Rattus norvegicus: one gene and its partner. The protein of the gene in region 1 purifies or fractionates together with the protein of each later gene. This does not show direct contact. Links are inferred from orthologs where the notes say so. Each region holds a gene or a part of one and is shown in the gene's direction. Other genes may lie near its edges.

Region 1 (3,815 bases):
GATCTATTCAACCACTCTCTGTATATTTTAAGCTCAGCATTTGCTGTGATTGCAACAGAGAAAGGATTCCTCTGGACACTGGGGTAGGGGGAATCTACACCTCACCCAGAAATTTCCTTGTACAGACTTCTTGTTTGTTTTCTCCTGTTAGTAAGAGACAGTCCAGGCCTTTGACTGAGGCACTCCTGAGGCATGTGCATGTATAGATTCACCTGATTGTTTCTTTCGAGATGATGGCCACAGTATAGGCCAAAGTAAACCAACAGTGCACTTCTTGATTACATTCCTGAAGGGGGCTCTGTTCTATTACTTCTGTCTGACTGAAGGCTTCTGTGGTTCTAATGAAATCCAATGTACAAATCAGCTTAGAACATTAGTTTGCCAAACCTCACTGAGTGCTGCTCATGACTACATTTTGACCAAACGCAAATGACTGAAATGTTTTTCTTGTCTGATAAAGTTGATTTTTTTTCTTTTGTTTTTCCTAGTGGGCTAGTAGATAGATATTTTAGACATTTCAGGATGTCCGTTATATTTCTTTCTTTAATGTCTCTGGTTTTAAAGCTTTCTTACAAAATAGGGGGCACTGAGTTGTAATATCAGCAACTTATGAAACCACCTTAAAAGTGCCTGAGGCTCTGTTACATTTGCCCTTGTAACCTAGACAGTGACCCGGGACTTCTACTTGCTTTTACTTTATTAAACGGTGCTTAGTTGAAAAAGCTTTGCCAGCAAAAACAATTGCGTCATTGCTTGGAAATTGTGAGAAAAATTATGCAGCTAAAGGACAAACCGTGACTTTTGTTTTTTGTTCTTTCAAGACAAGCCTTCTCTGTGTAGCCTGGGCTGTCCTGGCTGGCATTTACCAGGTAGACCAGGCTGGCCTTGAACTCAGGAATCTGCCCGCCTGTGCTGGGATTAAAGGCTAACAGTGATTTTCTTATGTACAGAAGTTTACTAATGAGTGTGTTTGAGAACCATGTTGCCTAAGACTTCTGTATTCTTTGTAATTTGTTCTGTTTAAACAAACGTAGAGTGCTGAAGTTCGATATAAATGAGAGAGTTTGGCTTCACTGTTTTGAGGTTAATGAATTTATTTTGAAATGAATTTAATAACACTTAAGCTTCCCGAGACAAGAAGTCTTCAGGACTGTTTATCAAGGTGCTTGCTGTGTTTTACTAAGAAACGGTAGATGTGTAAAATGCTTGTAGTGTCATAGTAAACGGGTAAAACATATTACAGCTCATCCATAACATAAATACACGATTCACTGACTGGAAAGGGTTGGCAAGAAGTATACAAACTGTTCATATGATTGTGTTTCCCTCCAAGTGCACATATTCCCCAAGATTCCTGTGAGTATAATTGTTTTGGTTTTGTTTTTTCGAGACAGGATATCACTATGTAATCCAAACTTAACCTTAAATCACAATTCTCCTGCCTCAGCCTCCCAAGTGCTAGGATCACAGACATGAAAAACCATCCCTGCCAGTACAGTTCTTTAACTGTAGAGGACTTTGGTCATCTAACTCTCAGCACAAATGGACATATTATGTTTTTGTAATGTTTTTTAATTTTAAGGATTTATTTATTTATTTATTTATTTATTTATTTATTTATTTATTGGTTCTTTTTTTCGGAGCTGGGGACCGAACCCAGGGCCTTGCACTTCCTAGGCAAGTGCTTTACCACTGAGCTAAATCCCCAACCCCAGGATTTATTTTTAATTATGTGTCTGTGATGGTACTTGTGGAGGCCAGAGGACACCAGAGCTGGCTCTCTATACTGACTGCTCTTAATCACAGCGCCATGTCCCTGACCCCTGATTAAACTATGTTTCTAAAGTTTTACGACCTTTATCTGCTTATTCATTTGTTTTGTTTTTGAGACAGGGTCTCACGGTGTAGCCTTGACTGGCATGGAGCTCACTCTGCAGACTAGGCTGGCACTGAACTCTTAGACACTAGCCTGCTTCTATTGCCTAAGTGCTGGGATTAAAGGCATGTGCCACCAGGCCCAGCCAGTTTTATGAACTTTAAAAAGCATTAAGAAACTGCATATTAGGGGGTTGGGGATTTAGCTCAGTGGTAGAGCGCTTGCCTAGGAAGCTCAAGGCCCTGGGTTCGGTCCCCAGCTCCGAAAAAAAGAACCAAAAAAAAAAAAAAAAAAGAGCCAATAAAAAAAAAGTCAAAAGTTGTTCTCTCAGGCTGACCTTCATTCTAAAAAAAAAAAAGAAACTGCATATTATAATATTTCAGGAAGTTGTTAACAGTAATTTCTTCTAGGAACATGGGCCCACCTTTACATTTCCTTTTTAAAATTTTGTACTTTTACTATGTGTATTTATTACTTTTTAAATAAATCTATTGATCAGTAAGAGATGAGATACCCCAGCAGATTGGAGTTTCAAAAGTCTGAACTGTGTTGTTTTATACTTTTAAATTTTAATTGAAGGCTAATGAATTTATACTTTATTAAAACTAGAAGCATTTTCCTGAATGTGTGTAATTTTTTTTCTTCTCATAAGCATACTGAAAGCCTGTGTAAATTCATCCAAGTACCCATGGCATTTTGAATTACGAATCACTTGAATCAATCCATAAGGCTGTCGTAAGACTGTGAGCATGTTGGTTTTGTGGCTAGCTTCTCAACTACTGGATGTTTAAAACAATTCCTGTTTTTTAAATTAGAATGTGAATAAAGAACGATTACCTCTAGCACTGTTTTTGTTTTGTGTATTATAACAGGTGCTTATCTGAATCCAGAGGGAAAAAACCATAAAAGTTATAAACTCCCTTTCTCTCCCATTGTTTGGATAAATAGAATCAAGCTATAGAAGTAACCGGGGATCACCAGCCTACCTACTTGAGCTGGGTGGAAGGCAGGCATTTTAATGATCAAAGTGAAAATGTGGCAGAAATTAATAGACAAGTTGGCCAGAAGCTTGGACTCTCGAGCGGGGATCAGGTAAGTACAAGTGGCCGCAGTCACTTTTTTTTAATGTCACATCCTAAGGTTCAGGCATTTTGAAGGTGAGGTCATTTGTATGCTTTCATAACCAGGACAAGACACTCAAGCTAGCTATATTTTGTTAAGTCACTGTCTCATCTCTAACATGCCTCCAACTCAACTTTGTATTCTAGTTGTTAATTTTCCAGTCAATTTTTTGTGAAATTATTTTTCCTTTTGAGTATTGGGTTTCCTCCTTACTTTAGAACTTCATTTTAGTTCTTGTCATAGTTTGATTATTTATTATGTGTGTATGTGTATGTGGTGGAATGGGGGCCGGGGAGTACTGGGGCCAGGAGGAGGTCAGAAATCATGCTTGGAGGTCGGAAGAGAACTTGCAGGAATCCAGTCTTTCTTTTTTATACCAGAGCTCCAGTGATTGGATTCAGGTTGTCTGTCAGGCTTGATAGCAAGGGCCTTTACCCACGAAGCCATCTCCCTGGCTCCATTTTATACACCTCCCTCCTCTCCCTCCCTCCTCTCCCTCCCTCCCTCCCTCCCTCCCTCCCTCCCTCTTTCCGGGAGTAAAAGATCGTGCCGGTCTTTTACTTATATTATGTTCATCAATTCATTAACTTTAAATATTCAATTTGAATATTCACTTAAAATTTGATTGAAAGTAAAAATTTCCTTTTCCCTTTCCTGAAATAGATGTTACTGTTTGTTGAGATCCAACCAGACCTTTAGGATAAAAAGAAAAGGCGCAAACATGTTTCCCATAATCTTTACTGCACACAGTGTATCACACGCCTTTCTATGTGCAGGCATCAGTGGGTATAAGTTGGGGTTACTTCTGCGAGCACCC
Region 2 (3,815 bases), about 120 Mb from region 1:
TCAGATCTGATTTGCCTGACTCACCCTGTGATGACGCTCTGTCCCCTGGCCAGGTTCATTTCCCCGTAAGTTGCTGTCACTGCTGATGCTGCTTCGCCGCCTTTGTGGCTCTGCGGTGAGCCACCTTCTCTCCCAGCCCTTTAGAAAGGGCCTCCTGGCTGCCTTGATCCTCTGTCTCTTGGTTCTACGGTTTGATCCAGGTGAGTGAAGGGGTGTGGCGGCAGGGTCTGTGAGAGCCTGGGAGGGCGCCACCTCCTGTGATATTGAGCCTGTCCCACAAAGAACTAGAGTCTACCTCACCTGGGGGGGAGACCAGGCCCAGATCCTAGGAGAGCAGTTGGAGAACATTTCCCTGCTGCTCTGCATGCCGATGGACTCACCTGGGCCCTGCTCCATCCAGGGGTGACTTCTGATCAGAATGCAATGCTAAGAAGCTTTCTCATAGTAAAACCTAAATTAGTTAAGGTCTCCTGGCTCGTGTAATGACCCTGAAATCGTAAGTGAAAGTCTGACATATTTTAGACGATGTGGGGGAAAAAATGTGAAACAGCTAAATGATATTCTGGTTTATAGACTTTTCCCCTGATTGATATGTGTCAGTCCTTTGGGTGATTAATCTCTTCTGCCTCACTGTGGAGTAGAGGTGAGACTCGGGAAAACACCTGTGTAGTGGACACTCAGATATGGGACTCTGGGCCACAGTTAGGTGACTGACTGCCGTTCGAGAAACACAAAAACAAAAGACAAGTCTTACTGTATAGTGCAGAATGGTGTCGAACCTTCTGTCTCTGCCTCCCAGATGCTGGGGTTGCAGGCGTGCACCACCAAGCCAGACTTTCCGAGTCACTCTCTGTGGGTTGTGAAGCAGTCTGTACTTTCTCAAGAATTTAGATGTAGATAGGATTGTGCAACTTTCAAAACCAAGGAGAAATGAGAAGCCTTTAATTTTCTTTCATTGTTGGTTGAGAAATCTAATAACCAGAGTGACTAGACCAGAGCCACACAGTTCGCCTGGTTTTAAACCTTTGACTTTAGGTCCCTGTTTTCCTCACCTCCCCTCTCACTTGTTGGACTCTGAGCAGGAATGTCCTCTCTGGACAGCTCTGTTGGTTATACAAGAAAGCCACCAGCAGCTTCCAGAAACAGGACAGAAATGAGGGGTGAGCAGAGACACCCCTACCGTGGGAAGCACATTCTCAGTGCTGGAAAAACACGTTTGAAAAGGGGAAGTTCAGTTCCTGTGATTTCCCATCTGTCCTTGACTCTCTACTTTGCATAGTTGATAAGAATTTAGTAGAAGTTCCTTATGACTTCCCCTAAACCCTGATCTCCTAAATGGTGACCAAGAAAACCATTCAAACTTGGGTGTGTACTGAGCAGCTCTCCTCAGGAGAGGAGGACCCACATGGGGGGTGGGTGGCGCTGCAAATAGAATTTGGGGAGAAGGTCAGTTACTTTAAAGAAAAATAACAGGTATGGAGGGCTGGGCATGCATGTGGCATACATACATGTAGGAAGGACTGGGTTGCATCTCCAGCCTTAGAGGAATAAACACCTTTCTTCCCACTGCTCCCACTATGCAAGCATGCGTGTGCGCATGTCTATATGTGTTTGTATGCGTTTGTGCATGTGTGTGTATGCATGTGCGCGCGTGTGTGCACTGTTGGCTACTCCACATGGTGATGATAAGGATGACAGTGGCCAGGGATTAAGTTGAGGCCCTCAGCCCTGAGGAGTGACTATTCTGTCACTGAGCTGCAGTCCCAGCCCTTCTGCTGTAGTTTTTGAGTCTCTTCACTTGCCTTGGGGTTGCAGGTATGTGCTACCCCATGCCTGGCTTTCAAGTGAGTATTTAGGATTCGAACTTAGGTCTTCACACTTTTTGGCAAGTACTTTACCGAGCCATCTCCTTAGCCCTAAACACTGCTCCCCCCACTTAGAGGAGCAGGTCTGTGTGTGTCTCATAGCCTTGCCCAGGCTGGCCTCCAGTGCCAGCTGAAGCCCCTGTCCTAGCTCTCTAAGGTGCTAGGGTGTTTAAGAGAGAAATATGTATTCCTTATTTTGGAGGCCAGGGATGAGCTCAGATACCACACTTGCCTGGTATGTACTAAGGCCTGGGTTCAGTTCCCAGCACCACAAAGAACTTGGTGTGGTGGCTCCCACCTGGAGTCCCAGCATTAAGAGGCGAAAGCAGAAGGCCCAACTCTGTCATCCTTGCCCAACCTGGCCAACCTCCCCAAATCAAACTAAAAGTAGAAATATGTATTTTTTAAGTCTGTAATCCAAACAAGGAAACGAAACAAATGGTAGTTTTTTGTTTTTTGTTTTTTGATTTTTTTTTTTAAATTTTCAATGTCGTTAATTCGTGGTAAAATACGTCAAACTGTCCTAAGGCTTCAAACTGAAAGGCACAGAAAGGCAAAAAGTGCAGTGAAATTTTTCCAAATGGCTCTCCCTAGTGGTAGACGTTGCTCCCATGGTTGTTAATTATTTCTTTCAGGAAGTGGAGTTGGGGCTTAACAGACATTTTTTAGACTTAAAAAATATGTATGAGGCTGCATATGTGGATGGGTACCACATGCATGCCTGGTTTTCTTGGAAGCCAGAAGTGTCAGATACCCTGGAACTGGTCGTGAGCCTCTAATGTGGGTGCTAGGAACTGCACCCAGGTCTTTGCAATAGCAGCAAGTGCTCTTAACTACGGAGCCATCGCTCCAGCCCCGAAGAAAAATTTTAACAGAGGCCTAAGCATGGAAAGTTAGGAAAGAGGCATTTGGAAGAAAGCAAGACACACCTGAGACACGCCCGACACCAGAAGCTCGGTGTAGGCTTCTGAGAGTCACCAGCGGTTGTGTAAATGCCAGAATGATTAAGATGTAATAAATCTGGATTTTTTTCTAGAATATTTAAAGTTATTGTAATTCAACTGGAAAAAAAATTTTCAGAGAAAGTGAAATTTCTTGTTGCCGAGGAGGCTGCGAATAGCAGGAAGCCTGGCTGTGTTTTCTAGCTGCCTCGGAGGGGCTGAGGGAAGAACACTCACGATAGTCTCTCCTTTCCCACAGCAGCTCCTTCTTCACTGCCCTTCCTCTACCAGCTGACCCAGCTCTTCCGCCGGATCCAGAAGGCCACGCTTTCTCGGCTCTACCCGCTCACCCTCCGGGACTGAGTGGTCCTACGTGGCTGCCTCTGCTTCTTACAGTCCCCATCTACAGAAGCGGAAAAGCCGAGCCCAGTGGCTGGGTCCCAGATGGCACCATGGCAGTGGGCCCATTCGTTCTAGGAGGAGGAGCCAAGGCGGGAGAGCCATGGCTTGCCTGTGAACCCGCCCTTCCGTATCCCATTGTGGCTGGCCTCAAAAGGAGTGTGTGAACAGTGGTGCCCGAGGCCAGCGCACAGAATTCTGCACAGCTCCTCAAAAAGAAGGGGTTTAGGAGCAGGGACTGGGTCTTGAGACATTGTGGTTTCTTGACAAAGGCAGAGGGTGACCTTCCAGATCGGGCGCTGGAGGAGCTGCGATTCACAAACGCGGTGGAGCGGCCCTTAGCCATTTACCTCTGAAACCCCTCCACAGCTCAGTACCTGAATTCAGTAAAACCGGAGTCCTCTCTTCCCCCACGCCCCTCCCACAGAGGCTGGGATCAGTTCACCATCCCCTCCCATTGGTCCAGCTTTCTGCTAGAGGCATTTTTCTGTTCAGACAGGATGTGGCTTCTGACCCACCCAGGTAGCCACAGGAGCAATGTGAGCCTGCCTGACCTTATCTCTGGGGAATGTGATCTTTCTTGGTGCCGCTGAGTCTTAGCACAGTTTGC

What was found.
Region 2: the proteins of Pex1 (region 1) and Pex26 purify together in Homo sapiens (affinity purification with western blotting; 3 studies listed by BioGRID and IntAct, with this or other methods). This does not show direct contact. The link is inferred for Rattus norvegicus from reciprocal best matches to the Homo sapiens genes PEX1 and PEX26.

Annotation. Positions count from the first base shown.
Region 1 is NC_086022.1:31,506,882-31,510,696, reverse strand, and holds part of Pex1 (peroxisomal ATPase PEX1), read left to right. Parts: intron 1-2,748; exon of another isoform or gene 2,749-2,824; coding exon 2,825-2,968; intron 2,969-3,815. UniProt on the Homo sapiens protein: Component of the PEX1-PEX6 AAA ATPase complex, a protein dislocase complex that mediates the ATP-dependent extraction of the PEX5 receptor from peroxisomal membranes, an essential step for PEX5 recycling.
Region 2 is NC_086022.1:156,093,460-156,097,274, forward strand, and holds part of Pex26 (peroxisome assembly protein 26), read left to right. Parts: intron 1-53; coding exon 54-200; intron 201-3,065; coding exon 3,066-3,169; 3' UTR 3,170-3,815. UniProt on the Homo sapiens protein: Peroxisomal docking factor that anchors PEX1 and PEX6 to peroxisome membranes. PEX26 is therefore required for the formation of the PEX1-PEX6 AAA ATPase complex, a complex that mediates the extraction of the PEX5 receptor from peroxisomal membrane.